Callithrix jacchus: one gene and its partners. The protein of the gene in region 1 interacts with the protein of each later gene in a pairwise test. Links are inferred from orthologs where the notes say so. Each region holds a gene or a part of one and is shown on either strand. Other genes may lie near its edges. The genes, in order: GOLGA2, SCEL, CCNH, SH3RF2, FAM50B, TCF19 and SH2D4A.

Region 1 (2,675 bases):
CCTGGGGGTGGGGCTGCCGCCTCAGGCTCCTGGGCGGAGGCCAGCAGGTGAGCCAGGTGCCGGCAGCGCACCCTTTGCTCCTTCAGCTGCCCACGTAGCTTTGCCTGCTCCTCCTCGGCACTGGCTACAGCCGAGTTGAAAAATGCCACCTGCAGGCAAGAGAGGTGCACACTTGGATGGGGATACACAGGACAAACAAGGCAGGGAAGAGGAGAGCAGCCGTTCCCCTAGGGCCTCAGAGGCATCACCTGTTGGTCACAGGTGACATAGTGTCTGATCACTGGCTCCCAGGGAAGGGGTGAGGGTCCAGAGAACTCAGAATACCAGGAAACCAAGAGAAGAAGGGGGTCTGGGAGGGACCACAAAGGGAGGCAGCAAAGGTGGGGCAGGAGGAGTCAGCCTCACCATGGCCTCCCGGCTCTCCAGGTCCTCTGGGATGCTCGGCATGGGCCAAGGCGCCTCCTCCTCCTCCTCGTTCTCCCTGTCCAGTCCATCTCCTATTGGGGGTGGCCAGAGGGGTCATCAGACAACCTAACAAGGGTACAGTGGGCCCACCTCTGCCCCCACCCTCACTGTGTAACCCTGAGCCAGCCCCTCCCCAGAGGGAATGAGCAGCTGTCCTTCATTTTTATTTTATTCCTTTTGAAGAGCCAAGGGCTCGCTATGTTGCCCAGGTGCAGCCCCACTACCCATCAGCACAGGAATTCTAACCCATGCCATTTCTGACCTGGGCCAGTTCACCCATCCTTAAGCAACCTGGTAGTCCCCTGCTCCCAGGAAGTCACTATATTGGTGCCCAACTTAGTGTGGACAGCCGGTGAGCATAATGACCCGCTGTTCTAAAAGTCTCTTCCAACTCCTCAATCCTACGCTGCTGACAGTCCCCGATTCCTCCTAGGGCTCTCTCCTCTTCCTGGGAGCAGGTTCCCGTACCTTCCCCAGGGAGAGCTATGAGGCTCAACTGGGCTCTTAGCTGCTGGTTCTGCTGGCTGACAGCTTCCAGGCGCTCCTAAGGGGCCAGGAAAGAGAGTGAGAAGGCACAGAGGTTGCCAAGTCGCTCAGGGCCCTGCCCTCAGCAACTCCCTCACCTGGGTTTCCTGCAACTCTTGGCTGGCCATGTCAGCCACCGCTTTGCCCTGAGCTTCCTGCTGCTGCAGCTGGTCCACGAGCTGGGTCTGCAGCAGCAACTGGTTGTGCAGTGCCTCCTTCTCAGAGGTCAGCTGCTGACAGGCGGCCACCTGCTGCTGATAGGCGGCCACGTACTGCTGCAGGTGTCCCAGGTACTGGTCTCGCTGCTGCTGCAGACTCTGAGCCTCTTGGCTCTTCAGCTCCACCTGCAGGAAGATCCTGGGCATGAGGGCAGGTGGTGGCTGACTTCCAGATTCTGGGCCCATAAATAGGGTAGCAAGGGCACGCTGGGGCTGTTGCATGCCCAGACCCCTGGCCCCGTGCTTCAGGCCTAAATGACTGCCTACCTTGCCTCCTTCCCCAGCCTCAAATCTCACACCCTTGTTCCCACCATTCATACTGTAGGCCACAGACTGGTGGAAACACAGAGGGAGTCAACCACCATCTGCTAAGTGTGCTACATGCCTAACACTATCCACGTAATATCTCATTTAATGAACTTCCTTTTCAAGTTAAAGAAACCGAGACTTAGAGATGCAATGTAGTTGAATGGTGACCAGTGGAGGAGAGGTCGGAATCCAGTTTGAATCTAAGAAGCCTCTTATCCCACTTTCTTTCCCTATGACTGGGGGCTCCATGCCTCTAGCTGGAATGATGATGTCCAGACCTGAGAGGAGCACAGGACTATCCACTTCTAAAAGTCTGGGAGCAGGAAGCAAGAAACAGTCACAGGACTTCCCTGGAGGGTGCTGGGGTCACCTGTCCCCCAGGCTGGAGCTGCTTCTGGCCTCACACCTCCCCTCCCCAGAGGCTGGTGCCTGCCTCCCAGCCCTTCTTGGATGGGGTGGGGTTACCGTCTCCTTCAGCTCGCTCAGCTTCTCCTGCAGCTCGCCCAGTTTTTTTCCCAGCTCCTTTTTGACGTGCTGCTCCGACTGCAGTGCACTGGTGATCTCCATGTTCTCATTAGTCTGGACAGGGAGAAGCAATCAGTGGTCACCCACTGCAGCTGGAGACCTCAGAATTTGGCGTCTGCCTCCCATGGAACCAGGAAGGGTGGAGGCAGGTTAGAAAAATCATCCCCTCTCCCCGACAGCCATCAGAGCAGGGCTCGGCTCATAGGTGACTTCAGAAGTACCATTTCATGTGAGGGCTACACTGCCCCATTTTACAGGTGGGAAAACAAAGGGCCAGAGGGCTAGGGAGAAGAGCAGGCTCCCCAGGTAGGGCCACACACCAGCTTTACGAATCCGCTCTGCAGCTCGGCCAGCTGCTCCTTGAGTTCGCGGTTCTGGGAGAGCGCTCGGCTGATGGTGGTGCGGTCATTCTGCATGGTCTCCAGGATTTGCCTGCGAGCCTCCGCCTGCTCCCCCCAGAGTTCAGCTGCCCGCTCCAGCTCCAGCAGCCTCTCCTCCTGCTCCCGGTTCAGGCGACTCAAGCCCTCATTGTCTTGCACCTGGGCTTGGAGCTGTCCTGCCAGACTCTCCAGCTCCTTCCGAAGGTGCTCAGCCTCCGCCTGTAGCTGCTGCTCTACCTCGGAGGGCCCTGCT
Region 2 (3,500 bases), about 140 Mb from region 1:
AAAAACATCTGTTTGCATGCATATACACATGAGCAGAGGGATGCCCACATATACACACACCAACATATGAAGAAAATAAGTCCTGATTGGAAATTTTTTTTTTTTTTTGCGACAGAGTTTCACTCTTGTTACCCAGGCTGGAGTGCAATGGTGCAATCTCAGCTCACCGCAACCTCCGCCTCCTGGGTTCAGGCAATTCTCCTGCCTCAGCCTCCTGAGTAGCTGGGATTACAGGCACACAACACCATGCCCAGATAATTTTTTGTATTTTTAGTAGAGACGGGGTTTCACACCATGTTGATCAGGATGGTCTTGATCTCTTGACCTCATGATCCACCTGCCTCGGCCTCCCAAAGTTTTGGGACTACAGGTGTGAGCCACCGCACCCGGCCGGAAATATTATTTTTAACAAAAATTAGAAAACATTTCCAAGAAAACAGATTTTTCTTGGAAAGTTAAAATTTGACATTTGAACACTAAATTATGAAGGAAATATAACTTACCTGAATCCTTATTATTGCAATAATTACTTGTATCTACTATGTGCCAGGCATGAGAATTTTATGATTCCTCTTTTGTAAATGAGTACATTGAGGCACAGAGACACAGTTAGCAAGTGACAGAGCCAGAATATGAACCTAGGTTTTTTAGATTCCCTGCTCACATTCACTACCTCAGGTTACCTCCCTGAACCACCCAGGAACTGAAGGACATCAATGCTTTCTTCTCCATCTACTGATTGCAAGCTTGTGCAAGCCTCCAGTTCACTGGGTTGCTGTGCCTCTGACCATGCCACACCTACACAAGCAGGGCAGGCGTGACAGTGGGCACCACAGCTTTTCAACTAGCTGAGCCCTTCCCTTGCCAACTGGGCTGCAGGCATCCATGACACATTTTTGGATTGACAAATAATATCATGTACTTAGCTAATGAAATGGAAAAGAATTCAAGGGAAACCACATGAAATTATGTGGTACACTGTTTCCAGCAACATGCCAACAAACTCAGTTTCAAAAATATTCCATCTGCCTTATAAAAAATAAAAAACAAGAAGACATAAGTTCTCTAGACATACTCGACAACTCATGAGTAGGAACAAAGCACACTTTGTTAAGCTCTTCATCTTTAAATACACACATACTACATGCACATACACACACTACACACAAATACACCACACATGCACATGTAGTTCATACATATACACATCTGCACATGCACTTATACATACACACACATACACTTATACACACATCTATACACACATGTACTTAAACCCACATACCACTGATACACACACACATACACTCAAACACACACACTACTTATATCTACATATATATATTTATTATACACTTACACATACATACATGCACTTATATATAAACACACTATATATTTACGCACATACATTTATACACACATGTACTCACACTCGCATACAAAGAAATAAATCATTTAGTTCAGTAGAGAAGGTCAGCCAAAATTCCCATTTAGTTTCTTAAAATTATTTGCTAACAAACTTCACCCAAGAACAAAATGAAGAAGATTCAGGTGTATCACTTGTACAGAATTACTTAATATAAAGTGTTTAGAGAAAAGAGCTCAGTTTGTTTTGGCTTGAATTCCAATTTACTGACCTGAATATCAACATTCAGAATTCTAATGAGCTTGTAAATGCCAAACAAAGGGAAGGGGGAACTTAAAATGCCTTACCTCCTAATATTTTTATTTGTTTCAGGATCCACTTTAATAAGCCAGTCCAGATCTTGTTTTCTTTGAATGAGAAAATGAATTTTAATGAATAATGCTAAAAATAAAGCACTAATCAGATGAATAATGGCTGGAAAAATTAAGAAGAGGTAAATCTACAGGTTTCATATATCTACGTAAAGTTTTAAAGCTCCAAATGCAAATGAAAATTATTCTCTTACATCTTGAGCTGAAGACCATTTAAGGTTGCTTATTTGTTAGTAATAAATGTGATTTTTGTTTTGTTCTCAGAATGCATAAGTATATGCAAAACTTGTTGTTTAACAAAATCAACTTTGCCTTCAGACACATCTTGTTAGATATATCTTGTATCCAAACAGGCAGCATTGAAATAACATTAAGTTAGATTAAGTTCTACACTGGACCCAGACAGTATAAATGTCTACTCAACAAATGGAATACGATCACCTATTCTGTTTCTAAGTATTAGGAATAATGTTGAGAATCATAATTTAATAATAAAAATCATTTAACAATATTAATAAAGAGAATAAGAATGTATGTTTTCATATAAACTCAGCTATCTACCTAACCCAACCCATTTTAAATATCATTTTCTTCAAAATGAATTTTGGTGAGCAAAAATGGGCAAGAAATAAACAGCTCACATTACCATGTGTCAGGTGTTTTCAGGACCAAATCAGAAAGCCCTTTGATGTAAATTATCCTTAACTTACCTTTATTAATTTCCACAACAGCATTTCGTTTAATACCACATACCAAAAATTACTGATTCACTCCCCAGTGGGAGTGAATCACACAGGCCACGCTATTAAAATACTTTGATACCAAAAAAGGCAGAAGCAGAATCTAAAAGGGACAGGAGGGGACAACAGAAGCACTGTGATTGGGTGCCACCACCATGTCTACACAGCTCTGAACAGGGAACAAAGTGGTAGGAGGTCCTCACTCCACCTGTGTGTGCCGCCTCAGCCCTGCCTTGACCACCTCCTGAGACCACCATCCTTAGAGAATTTGAATTACCAGAGCTTCAGTGATGGCTCACTCCTGGCCGTCTTTGTCATTTTGGAAATACACTTTGAAAATTTTGTCACAACTGTGCATTCTTATAGGCACAAAGAAATTCAATTCAGTCCCTTACCCCTGAAGACAAATCAAAGCCCAAAATCTGGGAGAAAAGTTTGTTTACTATCAAACATTAAGACAATGCTTCAGAAGTTCACAGTTTTATTGAGGGCAAGGAGGGATGGTCCAGTGGCCTATATTTATTGTCTAATTCCATGCTAATAAAATATGGTTATACAGCTAAAAAGCCAAATTGTTTTATCTTCTGATGGATTGACACTTAAAGAAATCATAATCAAAGACATTAATTATTCTTACCCAGTGGCATTTTCATTTCCTTTGGGATTCACTTTGATAGCATTATCAAGGTTTTCACTTCTTTAAAAAAAAAAAGTGTATCAGTTTCAAAACATTCCTATAATATTAGACACACACTTCCTCCATATTCCCAATGATTAATTCAAGCTTCTGGAGACAATTATTATACTGATATTAAATTCACTTTTAGTATAAAAATTGCCTATCAATAATATAGTTTAATCCTTAGGATTTTATTGGGCTATATGTAAATGTATATTTAGATGGAATACACTGTAGACTCTTTGAAGTGAAAATCAGGGCACCAGGGATTAGACACAGAAGAGAGAAGCCAAACATAAAGATGCGATGCCCTCAATATCGCTTAATTAATATGAGAGAAA
Region 3 (4,239 bases), on another chromosome or scaffold:
AAAATAACCACTTATCTATTTTATGATAGAAAAAATATTTCCTTTTAAATATTTTAAAAGTTTAGTTTTGTCATTATTTAAAACAAAAAATTATTCACCAATCACAAACATGTTATTTAAAGATAAATTCCATAAAGAAGTTTATTAAAGGTTTCTTCATTTGATAAAATCACTTAAATTTACTGCCTCATTTTACAATTCTTTTGTAAGAATAAGCCAAATCTGAAGACAGAAACTGAGTACACCTAAAACTCTCTGAATCTTTGATATCTCATATGGAAAAAAAAATAAGTTATATGACTTAATATTTTCGACATACTTCAATGTTTTTTCAACAATAAAAATGGAGATAATTTCCTAGAAGCTAATCGCATTGTATATAGCTTTAAAACTTAACAGACTTTTACTTAAAATAGACTTTTACATTTAGTCTTCACAACAAACCTGATAAAATAACATAAAAACATTTTTAACACTCCCCCATTACACTTTTTTATCTTTCAGCTTTTTAATCTCAGCTACCTGTTTCTCCTCACTGTTGTGCACCCCAGCAAAACAAACAAACAAACAAAAAAAACCCACAGGTCCTCAGAATCATACATCTGAAACAATATGACAATCTTTTTAACCAAAGATAAAACTCCAGCTTCTACTAATCAAAGCTTAAAAAAAAAATCTTATGGCATCAGTTTCAGCTGGAGCATATGATTACAAATGATGAATGAATGTATTATTTCAAACATCTACCGGGTGTCATAGAGTTGGAAAAGCAGTAGTCTAGTTCTATTTCTGGTTCTAAGGCTCACTAGTTGAAAACTTAGAGGAAAGTAAGTTAATTTTCTTTATTTATACCATTACCTGACCTCAATTTTCTTTTTTTTTTTTTTTTTTTTACTACAAAATGAGACTTGAAATACGTTGGAAGAGATGATACAGCAATTCATGATTTAAGGCCTGTATTGAAAAATATATAATGTGTCAAAAGCTAATTAAATGTAACAAAGGTGATTTTTAAAACTAAAATGGACTGGGAACTTAGCTACAAATTTAGAAGAGGTCAGATTTCACAAGCCAACTAAAGGACATCATATTTCATCACTACCGTAACTTACCACAACAGACCTTGGCATTGCCGGCTTAAACACTGAACAGAATTCCAGTAACCTTTTCTCATAGTATTTACAGAGTGTCATTTCTTCATGAGGCTCAAGAAAGACTGGATCATTCGGAAGAACCTTTAGGTCAACAATTACAACACAAGTTCAGTGAATTAAACAACTGTAAAATATTTTTCTCTAACTAGATTAAATTTAGTTTATATCTCCAACGAAGGAAAATACATCACGCCTCATTTTCTCTTTATAGATTCCCCTATCATTACACAAAATAGCTTTAGGAAAATATTTAATAAACTAAAACTGTACCATCATTTCGCAACATTTCGGAATGTCAGCTAGACCTCTGCTTCAAGATACAATCATGATAGACTGTGTGCATATGCTCACAGTTGTGATGTCATTATTTATAAATTAAAAAATAGATACACTTAAATAAAAAATGATTGGAAAGTTTCAACATCCGTTTCTCAGTAAGTCATTATGTCACACAAGCGAGGTATAAAAAAAAAAAAGGCAAATGTTTCAATTTGTTATTTTAAGCTATCCAGTTTGTGGTGATTTTAAGGCAGCCCTTACGAAACGAATTCAGGTGCTAAAATCAGTTATTTGAAACAGATGTGAATTAAAGTAGAAAGCGAAATTACTCTGTATCAATAATTTGGAGGCGCTGAACACTTGCTGGAGTGGAACTCGTAGGAAAGATTTTACCAGTCCGAGAGCCGTAACAGAAGGGACATAGCGGGCCATAGTCCAAACCATCTTTAGTCAGTTGGTTTGTACTCGGTCTCCTGTCTCCCTCCCTCATCCAACCCATTCACCACGAGGTTGCCAGAGCGGTTTCTAGAACGGAAATCTGATAAGGTTAGTTTCCCATTTTAAGTATTTCAAAGGTTCCTCATCCTTTCAGTAGAAATTTTAAACGCCTCACTTCCACTTACAAGTTCTCTTCCTACCCTCCCAAGCAATTCCTGCACAGGTACTCAACCTCGACCATATACGACCACAAACACGTCCAGGCACCAGTTCTGTAATTTCCGACCTCCCTCCCACTCTGCACGGTAGCTCTGACTGCCTAGAATGTCCTTTCCCCATTTTCTCCGCATTAGCTACTGGGTAAAATGTTCCCCGACATCACCGTTTGACAAGTGAACGGCTCTTGCCAGGCACTACCTTAGCACACTACTTAGTCTCTCCTTCGCCACGTTACAAAGACTTGTCTGCCATTCTACTACGGGGACGGCGTTGTTCGTCTTTGCACCCACGGAACTGGCAAGGTGCTCGCCTGTTTAAATAGATAAGCGCATTCCGCGCCGTGGAGACAGAGAATTGAGGGAATGAGATTGTCCTGGGAGCCAGAAGAGCCCCCGCAGCTGCTTAGAATTTAGAGACCAGGGCAAACGGGCAACCGTTGAGAACCTCACCTTCCCGTTGGCCACTGCTTTGCATCTGAATTTGCGGTTGGCGTCGGCCCGCAATCTTGCCAGCTGCTCTTCACCGGAGAAAGTCCAGTGCCGCTTCTGGCTACTATTGTGGTACATTGTGAATCGTGACCAGGTGCAGAGAGCCTGCAGAAGAGAACCCAAACGCAGCAACACCGTGGCGTAAAGCGGCCTTTCACCCACCGAAAATGTCGCGGAAGCCTTGGGCGTCCGGCCAGCCGGCGCCCGCGCCGGCGCGCTGACGTCACGATCACGTGGCGAGCCCGTACGCAGTCGCATTTCCGGAACGGACTAGGAAGAGACCATATCTAGGGTTCTTTGGGGCGCTCACTGAGGCGTAGTGGGCGGAGCCTACGGAAAGCTCCTCTTAGGGAGCCTGGGACATAGCTCCGCCCCTTCCACTCAGGATTTAAAGGAGAAGTGCCTGGCGAAGAGTGTTCAAAGGGGACATAAGCTAGGACATAATCTACTTTTTTAATTTATAAATAATACATCCCAACTGTGAGCATATTCACACAGTCTATCATGATTGTTATGGAGTAGGCTGTTGTAAATTCACAGGGAGTAATCAGAAATGAGGAAAGGACTTGGTAGGGTGTCAGTTTTTAAATAGAGGCCTCACTGAAGTTGACATTTGTGCAAAGGCTTGAAAGAGTTGAAATAGTAGGTTGATCAATCATGTAGGGAGATCATGGGACCCAGAAAAATAGGTAAGATCTTCATGCAGAAGCATTCCTAGAGCTTGTCAGGAAGACTTTGGAGACCAGTGTTCTTGAAGCTCTACCAAAAATCTCAGAGAATGGAGCATGGCTGAAAAACTTGAAGCAGTGGATATGTATTGGCCCTTAGAGTTCTGCCACTTTTGTGACCTTGTCTATTCTTTCTCTGTACTTTTTTTTCCTTACCCTTCTGTTGATAACTAGCCAATCCTCTTCCCCCGTTTTCGTCTCTGAAGCCAAGATGTATGGTGGTTTTAGTTTTCTTGAGATTCCCATTTTCATTGCCTCTAGGGAGACTTACGGTAAGCTATCATGAATATTAAGATATTTACAATTTTTTAAATTAATAGGACTTTCAAAATTGCAGGTGAGATTCAAAATATACATTGATTCTGGTTTGTCACATTTAGGCATACCTTATTCCTCCACATATTTATTATATATCCAAAATGGATTTCCAAAAAAGAAAGAAAGAGAAAGATGATGAGGCCTGGAGAATTTAGGTCTTGAAGAGCCTAAAAGGTAAAAAGGTAAAAGAAGTGGCAGGACGACTTTAAGTCTGCTTTCTACGAAAATGTTTTTAGAGCCTAAAGAAAGGGAGTCTTTTCTCTTTCATTTTTGTTGAATGCAGTTGAGGATAGAGTTTGGACAGTTATTTGAATTCCTCAAACTTATGCCATTTGTAGTTTATAATTTTGGAGATCCACACACTCAACATATGTGGCTAATCTGGACTTGTAAATTGGCTAAGAAATGAGAAAAAGAGAAGATTGAAGGGCATGGCAAATTGATTACAATGAATTGTGAACAACCTAAAATGTTGCATATTGGGAGAAGAATAAAAGAAAAAAATAATGGTACAAAACGTAGGAAAATAAGTGATCTAGATAATTAAATGTCTATACAAAGTCTTAGACTCATAACAGTTATATATATATCATATAAATCCTTTTCATTTTGTTT
Region 4 (3,500 bases), on another chromosome or scaffold:
CATGTATGCAGGGCCAAACTCCATGTGTCTGCTTTGTTAATCTTTGCTGTCCCTAGCACCTAATGCAGTGGCTTCCCTTTAGTAGTCAGGCAACAGATATTTCCTGAATGCATCCATGCATAAATAAATACATGAAGTTGAATAAATTATATAATTTACTGAGCTAGAAAGCACTAGGAAAAGAACAACTTTGGGAAAGAATATCTCGAGTTTAATTTGGATGTGCTGAGTTTAGACCATGAGATTTCCTAGAAGTCTCTGTATTCCACAGCCTTCCAGAATGGGTCAAATCTTTTTTCCGGTTTCTTTATCATAATTTCCCATTTATAAGTGTGTTTCTTCCACTAGATTGCCCACTCTGTGAAGGTAAGGACAATGACTCATCACTTTATCTCCAATGGCCAGCTTGGCACATGGATGGGCTCAAAAAATGAATAAGCATGTAGAGTAAATGTCCCAGTTTGCAAATTCCCAGAAAGGGTCAGAGAGGCAGACGATGATACTCCCTGCTTATGTCTTCCTCCAGCTGTGTGTCTAATGCCTGGCACAAAATAATTACTCACTACATATTTGCGGGATTGAACTGACCTTCCTCTAACTGTAGTCTACATCTAAACTTTGCTGTTTGGGCTGTAGAATGACCTTCCTTAGGAGTCTCACTCTGAGGTCCCAAGGAAATAATAAACGTCGTTATCTCAAAATGTGGAGGACAGGGAGGTTGTCTAGTTTGAGGAAACCTGAAGTAAATCTCCTTTCTGGTAGTGGTGGAATAAAAATATTTTGCAAAACAAAAGACTTTGGCTAAAGTATTGTAACAGTGCCTCTTTCTATACTTATATTTGATCGACTTATCACCAGTAGTGAAGAATGAAAATAATTCCAACTGTGGTTTCTATGAGAGATGTGAATGTCTATGGAATAACAAATACTGAATACGGAGAGTTAAAGTAGTGTAGACTTTAGTAGAACTGTCATTACTTGCAAATGGTGGGGAATCATCTAATGAAAAACAGAGGCACAAGAAATCTTAGGGTAATTAATGTTTGAAAAGTATGTCTCGTAAGAGATTATTTATGTAGAAAGGCATGATTATGTTGTTATGTGTGTCTGCAGTGTTTTGAATGTGATGTTTACAACAACATAGAATGTTGTAAATGAGTAGAATTAGGTAAGCATAACTTGGTCAGCAAGAATACCCTTCCACATACATGATTAAGAGGTAGGGGCATGGTTTTACATAGCATGTTATCAAATTGTTTGTGATTTTCTGTTCACGTATCTGTTCTTCCCATTACTATGCCAGGAGAGCAAAGACTGTGACTTATTCATGTCCTATTCCCAGGACCTGCAAAGAGTAAGTGCTCAAAAGTGATAGAATGAATGAATGAGTGAATGAGTGTATACTTTTGTAATTACAATAAAAAAGGCTCACAGATTTCTATCGCTTATTTGTAGATTTCTGTAGAGATTTTACTTGCATTTAGTTTGAATTGTACACACATATTACATATGTAATTTATGCATAAAATATAATTTATGCTTAAAATATAATTTATGCATAAAAGAATAAATATGAACAATAATATAATATATTTAATATATAATTTTTTAAAATCAGCAAATGTTAAACAAGCAACTCTGGTTCTGCTATGGTCTCTATGTGGTCCCAGCTGACTGTGGTGGCCACCCAGAATCCTACCTTGAGGAAGGTGAGGCAATCCTGGTTCTCTCTCTTGTCCTTGCCTCGTAGGTCGAAGTTGTAGAGGGCCCTGCAGAGTGGGGGTGGCTGGGGCAGCTGCTTGATGACTTCCACAGAGCTGGCTGGGAAGATCCCGCTGATGCCATTGATTTCCCCCTGGTACCAATTCTCATCAAGCTGTCTCCGGAGAAGAATGACATCTCCCTTATTAAACCTTAGGTCACCAGGACTCTGCCCTCTGTAGTTGCATAAGGCCTTGGCTCGAGGCACCTGCAATGGCACAGACCAATAAAATACATACTTAGCTCAAATATCTACTTAGCTTAGAGTCTAGAGGAACAGAAGATACAAGCATTCCCTCTTTTGTTATACTTTGCTTTAACATGCTTTGCAAATATTGAGCTTTTTACAAATCAAAATTTATAGCAACCTGTGCTGAAAAAGTCTATTCGTGCAATTGTTCCAACACCACGTGCTGACTTTGTTTCATTATTATTATACCTGCTATGGTGATCTGTAATCAGTGATCTTTGATGTTAGTATTATAATGCCTGAGTTGAGGGGTGGGTGCCACAAACTGCCCATACAAGACAGCAAACTTTGTCAATAAATGTTTGTGTTCTGACTGCTCCACCAACTGGCCATTCTGCCATCTCACTCCCTCTCCTTGGGCCTCCCTATTCTCTGAGACACAAAAATACTAAAATGAGGCCAATTAATAACCCTAAAATGGCCTACACATTTTCAAGTAAAAGGAAGAGTTGCACATCTCTCACTTTAAATCAAAAGCCAGAAATGATTAATCTTAGTGAAGAAGGCATGACTGAAGCTGAGATAGGCCAAAAGCTAGGCCTCTTGTGACAAACAGCCAAGTTGTGAATGCAAAGGAAAAGTTCTTGAAGGAAATTAGAAGTGCTACCGCGGTGAACACATAAATGATAAGAAAGTGAAACAACCTTATTGCTAATATGGAGGAAGTTTGACTCGTTGGGTAGAAGATCAAACCAGCCACAACATACACTTAAGCCAAAGCCTAATTCAGATCAAGAGCCTAACTTTCTTTAATTCTATGAAGGCTGAGAGAGGTGTGGAAGCTGCAGAAGAAAAGTTTGAAGCTAGCTGAGATTGTTTGAGGTTAAAGAAAAGAAGCTGTCTCTATAACTTAAAAATGCAAGGTGAAGCCGCAAACCATCAATATTGAGGCAAGACCCACCACCAGCAAGAAGATGGCAACGTGCTGAAGGCTCAAATCATCATTAACTTTTTGTTAGTAGTAAAGTATTTTAAATTAAGTTAGATATACTTTTTTAGGCATAATGCTATTGCACACTCAGTAGACTACAGTGTAATGTAAACAACTTTTATATGCACCGGGAAGTAAAAAAATTGTTTGACTTGCTTTATTACGGCATTAGCATTATTGTAGTGGTCTGGGACTGAACCTACACTATCTGGGGTATACCTGCATAGTATTTTTTCCCATAAAACATGGATATTTTATTCCAGCTGTAGGACATGGAAAACAAAACAAAACAGCAGCAACAACAACAAAAACCAGAGGGAAACACATCTTCCCACACACCATTCTAATTTAAGTAACATTAATTTGGGAAAGGTAGAGCAGAAATACATTTATACATATAAGTATGTATGTCTTTATACATACATATATGCATTTTCAGATTTTAGTCTCATTGGAGTTCATATCCTCATTTAAAAAAAATAAATGCCCTTATAGGTCATCAAATGCAAGCTAATATTTCTACCTATGTCTCCTCGTCAGTCATTTAATACTGTTTGG
Region 5 (4,049 bases), on another chromosome or scaffold:
ATTTTAAAAATGTTTTATCGTGATTTGCAAGTTACAAAACTTGCTTGTATACTCTAGCAGTTGAGAGTCTTTCCGTCCCAGATAAGAGAAAGCCTGACTTACACTGGTTTAAATAAAATATTTAATAACTCATTTATTTGAAAAGATCAGAGGTCACATGAGCTTTGGATGTGACTTGACTCAAAAGTTCAGTAATCTCACCATCCCTCTTTCTGCTGCATCTTTAGGCTCGCACTCCTTAGGGCCACACGATGATTTCCAGCAATTGTCAGAGCTGCATGCTCTCTTAGTTGATTGCTCTTTCAGAATGGTGACCAGATCTGTCAGTACATTTCTCATTGCTTTTTAAAATCATCATAGCTAGGGAAATGATGAATAGTTCCTTTAGACTGAGACCATTAGGGCCTACCCTAAAGCTGGGGGTCGAGAGGAGAATGGTGGTAAAACGTAGGATGCACTGGGGAAAGGTGATAGCCATCCAAACAAAAATCGGGATCGCATAACCAACAGGAAGGGGAAATGGAAGCTGAGTGCTGAAATTAGCAACTGCTCATCACACACACTCGGTCCTCCTTGATACAAGAACACTGAAGGTCGATAGCTACTAACACACCTGTCTTACAGATGAAGATACTGAAGACTCCAAGAGCTGTATGTCCTACCCTTGGTCATTCATCCAGTTGGTAGCAAGGATCAAATCTAGATCTTATGATTCTAAATTCTCTGCTCTTACCAGTATCCTAAATTACCACTCTACTGGCTTAAAATACTGCTGAGTATATGGGACTGAGTCAGTACTACACACTTGTTTTTAAAAATTAAAAAGGATGCTGGGTGCAGTGGCTCATGCCTGTAATCCCAGCACTTTGGGAGGCTGAGGCAGGAGAATCACCTGCGGCCAGGAGTTTGAGACCAGCCTGGCCAACATGGTGAAACCCTGTCTCTACTAAAAATACAAAATTATCCTGGTATGGTGGCACATGCTTGTGGTCCCAGCTACTCAGGAGCTGAGACAGGAGAATCGTTTGAACCCGGGAGGCAGAGGTTGCAGTGAGCCAAGATCATGCGCCACTGCACTCCAGCCTGAGTGAAACAGAGTGAGACTCTGCCTCAGGAAAAAAAAAAAGTTAAAAAGGTCAAAGGAGATACTAGCTATTCAACACAAGGGTGAGTCGTGAGGATGTGATGCTGCTACTGTGGGCAGAGCGGCATGTGAGTTTCCACTATGGTGCACCAAAGAATTGGAGGATCCTGTTCTTAGCCTGGGTTCCCCCAAAGAAAAGCATAGGTTCAAGGTTTATGCGTGAGTGGTTTAGTTGGGAATGGGACCACAGGGAGCAGGAAGCAGGGTTGGTGGAGAGTGGATGGGGTAGGAGGCTGGGGAGAAAATCCAATTCAATCTAGGCAGCCATGCCTACAAGTGATTGCTGGGTCCCACAGCAGCCTTGTGTGTGTGTGTGTGTGTGTGTGTGTGTGTGTGTGTGTGTGTGAGAGAGAGAGAGAGAGAGAGAGAAAGAGAGAGAGAGAGAGAGACGGGGTTTTGCTCTTGTTGCCCAGGCTAGAGTGCAAGGGTGTGATCTCGGCTTACTGCAACCTCTGCCTCCCAGGTTCAAGTGATTCTCTTGCCCCAGCCTCCTGAGTAGCTAGGATTACAGGCATGCACCACCATGCCCGGCTAATTTTGTATTTTTAGTAGAGACAGGGCTTCTCCATGTTGGTCAGACTGATTCCGAACTCCTGACCTCAGGAGATCTGCCCGCCTTGGACTCCTAAAGTGCTGGGATTACAGGCATAAGCCGCCATGCCTGACCATCACAGCAGCTTTTGCAAGCTCTCTGGAGTGTGTCTCAGAACTGTGGGGTGAGGAGAACAGGGGAAGCATTGATTCGAGAGCTCCCATCCCCAGTGGAAGACGGTTCCTTCATAGGACTCACATGGCACACCCCAGCCAGCCACTGCATCTGAGAATCCAGGGACGGGCAGTGAGAAGAGGCATGCTCAGCGTACTGCTACGTGAAGCTGGTTGGATAGAACTGCTCACTGTAGCAGTGGCTGGAAGGAGAGGGGACGAGAACATTTTAAGTCGAGCATGATTGGTCTCCCTATATGATCCATTATAAGCTAATAATACAGGCCAGGCGTGGTGGCTCATGCCTGTAATCCCAGCACTTTGGGAGGCTGAGGCGGGAGGATCATCTGAGGCCGGGAGTTCAAGATCAGCCTGATGAACATGAGGAAATCATTGCCTGTAGCCCCAGTTACTCAGGAGGCGGAGGCAGGAGAATTGCTTGAACCCAGGAGGCGGAGGTGGCGGTGAGCTGGGATCGCATAATTGCACTCCAGCCTGGGCAACAAGACCGAAACTCCATCTCAAAAAATAAACCCCCAAAATAAGCTACTAATACAGAACTCGATTTAGGAAAGTGATACACATACAAGCCCAAATTCCTCTTTAGTTAGTTCATGTCTGATAGTTCTTCCTTGGAATATCACAGCCACCTTCTAAAAAGGTGTTCCTAGTTTCTCCTCATTCAACTACTGAAGTAATCTTTCTAAAATTAGTTTTTAAAGTCGTTATTATTTTACTGAAAGGTTCATTACTCCCCCACTGCTTCCAGGAATATGTACGAATTCCTTCGCTTGACATTCAACATGCTTCACAATTGGCTTTACTCTAGTTAAACAGCTGTACTTCCCGTAACTGCCTCCAGCTGGACTCAAGCCAGTGAAATTTCCTTACCGTTTGATAAACAGGCCAAGATTATTCCTCCTCGGTGCCTTTGCTAATATTGTCCACTCTAACAGGCAGGGATGATATGCAAAACATTTACCAACTGCTGTGGAGCACTAACCAATGAGCGTGGAGACGGAGCCAATCAGAACTGACATCAGGTGTAACTGCCAATATGCGCTGACCAGTTGGGTCGGTCCTGTCCCCAGCCTCCATTCGCTCTACTGAAATTCCATTTCTTTCAACTTCCGTGAAGTTTTCCTGGACTGCTGATGCCCAAGATGATCATTTCTATTTTTATTTCTTGAGACTAATTACCACCTTAAATTCTTGTACCCAGAATCTTATTAAAGATGTTCATGTGATTACACAAGAGTCTGAAACACCACTTTTTGGGCAGTGCATTTCTCATGTCTGCTCCATATGGTAACACCTTTGTGATCTTTTCTTTTGAGATGGAGTTTCACGCTTGTTGCCCAGGCTGGAGTGCAATGGTGTGATCTCAGCTCACCGCAATTTCCATCTCCCAGGTTCAAGCAATTCTCCTGCTTCACCCTTAATAGTAGCTGGGATTACGGGCATACACCACCACACCCATCTAATTTTTGTATTTTTAGTAGAGACGGGGTTTCACCATGTTGGCCAGGATGGTCTTGAACTCCTGACCTTGTGATCTGCCTGCCTCAGCCTCCCAAAGTGCTGGGATTATGGGCGTGAGCCCCACACCTGACGTGATATTTCTACAGAGAGTAGAGAGATAGAAGTCAGTCTTTCCTATAGCATGGCTGATGAAAAACAATTTTTGATTGTTAATATTTCAGAAAAGTTTCAGCTTTGAAGATTCATGACTAAAACAATTCGTGACTGATAGTGACATAGATTTAAGAATTTTTGTCAAATACAAGGAAAACCTTTTAAGTTTTTTTCATGTGTAACTATAACATTTCAGGGAATACAAATATCCTTGAAATGATCTTTGAATTGCTTTTTGAATTAGATATATTCCTGGAAGCCATCCCAACACCATGATGGCAGGCAATATTTTCATCTGTGTGGTGGTTAAAACATGGCCCCCAAAATGCTTTGATACTGCCCTCATTGAGAGATGGGGCTACCTCTCCTGAATCTGGGCAGGATTGTGACTTGGTTGTAACCAACAGAATGCAAGTTCAGAAAAGGTGATGTGGCTATGTTGGTCCCTGGAATACTCATCTTTGGTGTCCTGACTCATCAAGTAAGTCTGCCTTCTCTGCAGCCCCCATGCTTTGAGGAAGCCTGGGCTATGTTTAGGGGATGCAGCTGACAGCCCCAGCTACGA
Region 6 (2,799 bases), on another chromosome or scaffold:
CCCAGCCCCTCACCTTCTCCCCTAGGGGGGGTAGACCAAAGATCTTGCCTGTTTCCGCCCCACCTGGGGAAGTGGGTATCATACCTTCTGCTCCACCCCCACGCAATCGGAGGAAATCTGCTCACCAAGTGTTAGCAGAACTGGATGAGAGTGAGCCTCCTGAGAGCCCACCACCAGTCCTTATGGAGCCCAGGAAGAAACTCCGTGTAGACAAAGCCCCTCTGACTCCCACTGGGTAAGTAGAGACCTCACTTGGCTCTCATAGTATTTTACTGCCTTTTGATTCCTTTTATCCCTAGGCTGGGAGGTGGAATAGATGAAGTGGCAAGACCTGGGTTAGCTCTGATAAGAAAAGCAAAATATGTGCAGGAGAAAATGAGAGGTGGGTGGGGCAATGGTTATAACAGCTGGAGTGGGCACATCCTACTTTTTACATTCATCTAGCTTTAACCCCATTCTTCTAGTGCCTAAGGATGGGGAACTTCCAGGCTCACACTAGAGGTTTTTAGACCCACCCTATGTGTTTTTAAAGACAGGGTCTAGACTAACCTTAGTCCTCAGACCACTGTGCCTCTGTGGACTCACCCTATGACCAGCCATAGGGTGGCAAAGTCTAGGTCGTCTCCTACAGTTTTCCAGTGACTCTTGTATTTGTGTTACTTCCTTCAGAAATCGATGTGGCCATCCTCGTCCTTGGAAGTACCCAGCGAGTGCCCCCATGGCTCCAACTGCTGTTGGGGGCGGGGAGCCCTGTGCAGCTCCTTGTTGCTGCCTGCCCCAGGAAGAGACAGTGGCCTGGGTTCAGTGTGATGGCTGTGACCTCTGGTTCCATGTGGTCTGTGTTGGCTGCAGCATCCAGGCTGCAAGGGAGGCTGACTTTCGATGCCCAGGGTGCTGTGCTGGCATCCAAACCTAAGGTCAACCATGAAGGCACCCTCGGACACAGCTGCCCATCAGTAGACAGCAGTGAGCAAATGTGTCTGATAAATGCCCCGGTCCCTTCCCAGGATGGAATGATTACAGGGACGAAGGGTGGATTGATGTGACTCATTCAGGGCCTGGAGCAGAGCCTGGTGGCCAAGGTGACAAAGAAATGGCTTCCTGCCAAAGATATTGCCACCTCCAGGAAATTGCCAGTGACCTGGAAGTTCCCACTGCTACAAGCTACAAGACCATGTTGCCATGGACACCAAAATATCTGTAGTCAGAGCACTGAACAGTTGCAAAAGCCATGCCTGCAACTGATGGAAAACTAAGGGAGTTCAAAAAAAATTATCTTTCCTGCCGTAAGAGGGAGTTCTTTTGTTTTTTGAGATGGAGTTTTGCTAATTACCCAGGCTGGAGTGCAATGGCGCAATATCAGCTCATGGCAACCTCCGCCTCCTGGGTTCAGGCAATTCTCCTGCCTCAGCCTCCTGAGTAGCTGGGATTACAGGCACATGCCACCGTGCCCAGCTAATTTTTTTGTATTTTTAGTAGAGACGGGGTTTTACCATGTTGACCAGGATGGTCTCGATCTCTTGACCTCGTGATCCACCCTGCTCAGCCTCCCAAAGTGTTGGGATTACAGGCGTGAGCCACCGCGCCCGGCAAGAGGGAGTTCTTAAGGTTCTTGGTGGCATCACCTAAGGCATTCTGGGAAAACCTAGAGCCTGGCCCCAAAACTTCCCTACTCTGTGGCTAGTCTTGCCACTGACTAAATCATAAGGACTGGGCTTTTCAGAGCTTTGCTTTTATTTCCAAGTCAAGGACAAGCAGCTTCATTCCTGGGTATTTACTCTTCTTGTGGGTCTGTGGTATTCCTTGCTTTCCAGGGAGAATGCACTTGGCAAGGTCTGGAGAACTAATTCAGAATCTTAGTGGAAGGGGAGTAGATAGGAACAGCCAAATTCAAACCTGCTTATTGGAAAGGTACAAATATATGGGCTGAGCGGGAGGTAGGAATACAGGTAATTTTCTAGTTTTCCCTTAAACAGACCTACTGCCATTTAAATAAGGTAGCCAGGATTTGGTCAAGTTCACAAAGATAGCAGAAGTTTTACAGGCTTCACCCTTACCATCAGGGCAAGAGAAAGCCTGGTAAACCAGCTATAGCAGTTTACCAGCATGATTGTTGTGACAGCTCCACTCCATGGGTGGACACAGCAGAGGGCAAGTGGGCTGGCCTGGTCCAGTATGAATCCAACTGCTTACCCCACACGTGGTACACGTGATTTTCCTTTGTGAGCCTTACACCAAGCCAAGCTATTGTCAAAGCATCATTTGTACAGAAATAAAGCCTTATGTATTTGGTGAGTCACTTATGGGCAGGGTATGCAAAAACCTTAAGTGGAAACCAGATAGACCCTGGTACCAAGAAAGCACAAAATATTAATAGAAGTTTCCAGTTGGGGTGATTTAGGTACAACAGAAATAAGACTTGATTATAAGTATAAAGCCATTTAAGAATTCCAGAGTAGGGTGGGGAAAGCAAAAAGCCAGCTCTGAGCCGTAACAGCTACATGGTGATGAATATGGGCAAAAGTGTGGTGTCCAGATCCCATGTCACAGGCTTCCATGAACTAGCTATAAAGGGATCCTATGCAGATAAACTTGGCTCCAATCCTAGCTCTTCCTCTGACATTGTGTGACCTCAAGGAGTTTAAATGGCATCTTGGTTTTAGGGTCACTTGGGTATGAGCATTGGATATTCCCATCCCCACCTCAGTAACTAAAGGAGGCCAAACCAAGATAAATGTGTCTATCTACTGTGTCCCAGGCTTCTTTATTTAAGAAAAAAGTGATACATGTGGGGATTAA
Region 7 (3,500 bases), on another chromosome or scaffold:
GAAAACTTACAGGATAAGAAGAAGCCCATGGCAGAGCAGAGGATGCTCCAGAATGCTAGAAGAATTAGGTTTGAGAAAGAAGTAGTGTTTCAGTCTGACTCAGAGAAGTCTGAACTGCTGGATCATCCTGAGGCAGCTTGAGGAAGAACACAGGTGTGGCTGCATTTGCAGGATGTTGCGATCCTAAATTGATCTGCAATCCCATTACAGCCAATGCCATTTAAATGACAATGTCTGTGAAATAAAAATATTCGCAAGATCCAGTGGCCTCTTTGTACTATGCAGTGAAATCCTAGTATAAGGGAATATTTTGGGTATCTCTTTGAAGTCAAACATAACAGGATTTGACCAATAATGCCTGAAGAGTAAATATACTCAATAAAAATTACTTTTTCATTCTGCATTAGAGTCTCATTGCTACAACAAAAAACTGTTTTGCAAAGTAGTCATGTGCTGTATAATGATGTTTTGGCCAACGATGGGTTGTATATATTTTTTAGGCCAAGTGCTGTGACTCCCTCCTGTAATCTCAGCCTTTTGGGAGGCTAAGCTGGGTCGATCACTTGAGGTCGCAAGTTCCAGACCAGCCTAGCCATCGTGGTGAAGCCGCATCTCTACTAAAAATACAAAAACTAGCTGGGTGTGGTGGGGCACACCTGTAGTCCGAGCTACTAAGGAGGCGGAGGCAGGAAAATCGCTTGAACCTGGGAGGTAGAGGTTGCAGTGAGCCAAGATCATACTACTGTGCTTCAGCTTGGGCAACAGATTGAGATTCAGTCTCAAAAAAAAAAAAAAAAAAAAAAAGACACAAAATAATAGGTTGCATATATTTTTAAAATAAAGATATTTTTAATACATTTTATTAATGTAGTATAGCCCAAGTATAAAGTGTTTATAAAGTCTACATTCATGTATAGTAATGTCCTAGGCCTTAGCATTCATTGAGCACTCACTCACTGACTCAACCCAGAGCATCTTCCAGTCCTGGTAAGTACCCTATATAGCTGCATCATTTTTTTGTCCTCTATACTATATTTTTACTATACCTTTGCTACGTTGGGGGTAGTTTTTTCATTTTTTATTTTTTGAGATGGAGTTTCTGCTCTTGTTCCCCAGGCTGGAGTGCAATGGCGTGATCTCGGCTCACTGCAACCTCTGCCTCCTGCTTTCAAGAGATTCTCCTGCTTCAGCCTCCTGAATAGCTGGAATTAGAGGCGACTGCTACCATGCCTGGCTAACTTTTTGTACTTTTAGTAGAGTCAGGGTTTTGCCATGTTGGCCAGGCTGGTCTCAAACTCCTGACCTCAGGTGATCCATGTGCCTTGACTTCCCAAAGTGCTGGGATTACAGGCATGAGCCACTGTGCCCAGCCTTATATTGGGGGTGTTTAGATACACAAATACTTTTGGGTTACATTCGCCTCAGGACGCATTTCTCAGAACATGTTCCTGTCATTAAGTGATGAGTGACTATAATTTTAAAAGGCAGGCTTGGGGTACTTCTTCGTGTTCTAATGTGTTCTACAGTTATCTGTGGTTAAGCATCTCTTTAATTTTTTTATCTGTTGGGCTCATTCTCATTCTATCCCACTTCCTGCTCCTTCACCCTATGCACAGCCCCATGCCACTGAATAGTCCAGATCTTTGCTAGCAAGTCAGGCACACTGCATCTGAACATGAGTCTATGCAGGAAGTGACAAGTGCCTCTTATTACTCAGCACCCTTGCCACTTTGAACCCTTGCTCAGGCAGGGACTCCTCTGATCTTATCAACTGCAGGAAATTCTTGCACACTTTTGATACTTCTCTCATCCCTTCTTCCTCCTCTTCCTTTTCTCTCCCTCTCAGAAAATCCCCAAACTCCCATATGAAGAGAGGAATCCTGCGGTGAACGCTGGGCAAGTCCTAATGACCTGGATCATAGGTGTTGATAATGAGTGTTCCTCATTATAAGCAGATCACAAACTGCTGGTAACCTGCGCTGCTGCCTGTTGTGCAATGCTGAGCCTTCTCACCTGCTCTGGGGGCTGATGAGGATGTTCTCCAACCCTGTTGTTTTTCTAGTGCGAAAATCCAAAGCAGCTGATGAGAAGAGACGCTCCTTGGCTAAACAAGCACGAGAAGACTACAAGAGGTTATCGCTCGGGGCCCAGAAAGGAAGAGGCGGTGAGAGGTTGCAAAGCCCCCTGCATGCTCCGCAGAAACCAAAAAGACCTCCCCTTCCACCGAAGCCTCAGTTCCTAAACCCAGGAGCGTATCCTCCAAAACCTCTTAGGTAAGAAGCCAAACAAATAGATGGCTTTAGGCCTAAGCATTGCAATGGGCTTTGAGTAAGCATTGAAATTAGGATGAATTGTATGAGCTGCCATAGGGTGTGGGAGGTCAACTGGCAGCCTGTGTAAGCTCAGGCTGACGTCTACGCCTTCTTCCTGGGTTATCTGGTCGGGCGCTCCTCCCCTTCTTAGCTGTCAAACATCCGTAGGTGTTATATTTAGCATACCCAGTGAAATAGTAAAGCCGTGCATGGAGTTAGAGAACTTCCTGTGTCCCCACCCCACTCTCCCCTTTTCCACCCAGAGGCAGCTGGCAAGCCAGTGAGGGGAGAAGAGGAAGCAAGGGGGGATTTCACTGATGCCCAAGGTCACCCTTAGTCAATGACAATCAAAGTAGGAACCCAAAGGCTTGCTGACTTTCATGTCATTAGTAAGACTACGTTTTCACTGCCAAGGATTGAAGGTTTGATGTAATTCTCATTCTGGGACACATAGCTGTTGGAAACAGATGCTTGGTGCTGCAAAGAAAAATAGCACTGAGACAATGGATCTCTCAGCAAAGCAATTTTTACTTTTTTACTTCCTGTACTGCAGAAAGGGTACCCTCACTAGCCTTCTTGCCACGAGAGTACAATGAACAAAGGAAAGCAGACATATTTATCTCTTATGCATTTGTGGTTGTCTTTACTGCTGTGTCTGATCTCTGTTGGTTGGAGCCAGACTTCACAATCCAAACTAAAACTGGATTGGCTAACAACTGAAAACTTTTTTAAACAGGTAAGGGGCATAGGCTACCAGCTGGGACATGCCTGTGAGCACATCTAGCACAGATATCTTAAAATACAAGGACATAGAATATACTACATTCCTATAAGCATGTCTAACAGGTACATAGGATAGGGCTTAATAAAGGGTTATTAGCAAACTTATTCTCTAACAGGAAAGGAAACTTTAGAGGGACTTTTCCACTTCCCACAATAGCCAAGTTTATCTTTCGAAAATTTGGAAAGGCTCCTTTTTTTTTTTTTTTTTTTTAAATGAATTGTCTATTTGGTGGTGGTGATGCTATTGTCTCTTAGGCTGTGGAAGAATTAGGAAGAACCATTTGTTCTGGAAAATCTCTGCAGAATAGTGCAGTGATGCTATTACAGAAACCCCCATCCCTTATGTTTGCTGATTATAAATTTTTTTTCTGGTTATTGATCTTATTTTATTTTTAACATCCTAGG

The links.
Region 2: the proteins of GOLGA2 (region 1) and SCEL interact in binary tests that used the Homo sapiens proteins (3 or more experiments, as listed by UniProt). The two-hybrid records come from large-scale screens. The link is inferred for Callithrix jacchus from reciprocal best matches to the Homo sapiens genes GOLGA2 and SCEL.
Region 3: the proteins of GOLGA2 (region 1) and CCNH interact in binary tests that used the Homo sapiens proteins (3 or more experiments, as listed by UniProt). The link is inferred for Callithrix jacchus from reciprocal best matches to the Homo sapiens genes GOLGA2 and CCNH.
Region 4: the proteins of GOLGA2 (region 1) and SH3RF2 interact in binary tests that used the Homo sapiens proteins (3 or more experiments, as listed by UniProt). The two-hybrid records come from large-scale screens. The link is inferred for Callithrix jacchus from reciprocal best matches to the Homo sapiens genes GOLGA2 and SH3RF2.
Region 5: the proteins of GOLGA2 (region 1) and FAM50B interact in binary tests that used the Homo sapiens proteins (3 or more experiments, as listed by UniProt). The two-hybrid records come from large-scale screens. The link is inferred for Callithrix jacchus from reciprocal best matches to the Homo sapiens genes GOLGA2 and FAM50B.
Region 6: the proteins of GOLGA2 (region 1) and TCF19 interact in binary tests that used the Homo sapiens proteins (3 or more experiments, as listed by UniProt). The two-hybrid records come from large-scale screens. The link is inferred for Callithrix jacchus from reciprocal best matches to the Homo sapiens genes GOLGA2 and TCF19.
Region 7: the proteins of GOLGA2 (region 1) and SH2D4A interact in binary tests that used the Homo sapiens proteins (3 or more experiments, as listed by UniProt). The two-hybrid records come from large-scale screens. The link is inferred for Callithrix jacchus from reciprocal best matches to the Homo sapiens genes GOLGA2 and SH2D4A.

What each region holds. Positions count from the first base shown.
Region 1 is NC_133502.1:176,865,833-176,868,507, forward strand, and holds part of GOLGA2 (golgin subfamily A member 2), read right to left. Parts: coding exon 2,363-2,675; intron 2,097-2,362; coding exon 1,983-2,096; intron 1,335-1,982; coding exon 1,089-1,334; intron 1,010-1,088; coding exon 934-1,009; intron 498-933; coding exon 406-497; intron 150-405; coding exon 1-149. UniProt on the Homo sapiens protein: Peripheral membrane component of the cis-Golgi stack that acts as a membrane skeleton that maintains the structure of the Golgi apparatus, and as a vesicle thether that facilitates vesicle fusion to the Golgi membrane.
Region 2 is NC_133502.1:37,700,917-37,704,416, forward strand, and holds part of SCEL (sciellin), read right to left. Parts: intron 3,178-3,500; coding exon 3,118-3,177; intron 1,777-3,117; coding exon 1,717-1,776; intron 1-1,716. UniProt on the Homo sapiens protein: May function in the assembly or regulation of proteins in the cornified envelope. The LIM domain may be involved in homotypic or heterotypic associations and may function to localize sciellin to the cornified envelope.
Region 3 is NC_133503.1:123,459,594-123,463,832, reverse strand, and holds the start of CCNH (cyclin-H), read right to left. Parts: upstream 2,801-4,239; 5' UTR 2,657-2,800; coding exon 2,540-2,656; intron 1,236-2,539; coding exon 1,113-1,235; intron 1-1,112. UniProt on the Homo sapiens protein: Regulates CDK7, the catalytic subunit of the CDK-activating kinase (CAK) enzymatic complex. CAK activates the cyclin-associated kinases CDK1, CDK2, CDK4 and CDK6 by threonine phosphorylation.
Region 4 is NC_133503.1:44,494,051-44,497,550, reverse strand, and holds part of SH3RF2 (E3 ubiquitin-protein ligase SH3RF2), read right to left. Parts: intron 1,970-3,500; coding exon 1,700-1,969; intron 1-1,699. UniProt on the Homo sapiens protein: Has E3 ubiquitin-protein ligase activity. Acts as an anti-apoptotic regulator of the JNK pathway by ubiquitinating and promoting the degradation of SH3RF1, a scaffold protein that is required for pro-apoptotic JNK activation.
Region 5 is NC_133505.1:26,814,544-26,818,592, forward strand, and holds the start of FAM50B (protein FAM50B), read right to left. Parts: upstream 2,801-4,049; 5' UTR 2,741-2,800; intron 1-2,740.
Region 6 is NC_133505.1:35,984,761-35,987,559, forward strand, and holds the end of TCF19 (transcription factor 19), read left to right. Parts: coding exon 1-235; intron 236-669; coding exon 670-916; 3' UTR 917-2,299; downstream 2,300-2,799. UniProt on the Homo sapiens protein: Potential transcription factor that may play a role in the regulation of genes involved in cell cycle G1/S transition. May bind to regulatory elements of genes, including the promoter of the transcription factor FOXO1.
Region 7 is NC_133514.1:22,141,152-22,144,651, reverse strand, and holds part of SH2D4A (SH2 domain-containing protein 4A), read left to right. Parts: intron 1-2,062; coding exon 2,063-2,273; intron 2,274-3,500. UniProt on the Homo sapiens protein: Inhibits estrogen-induced cell proliferation by competing with PLCG for binding to ESR1, blocking the effect of estrogen on PLCG and repressing estrogen-induced proliferation. May play a role in T-cell development and function.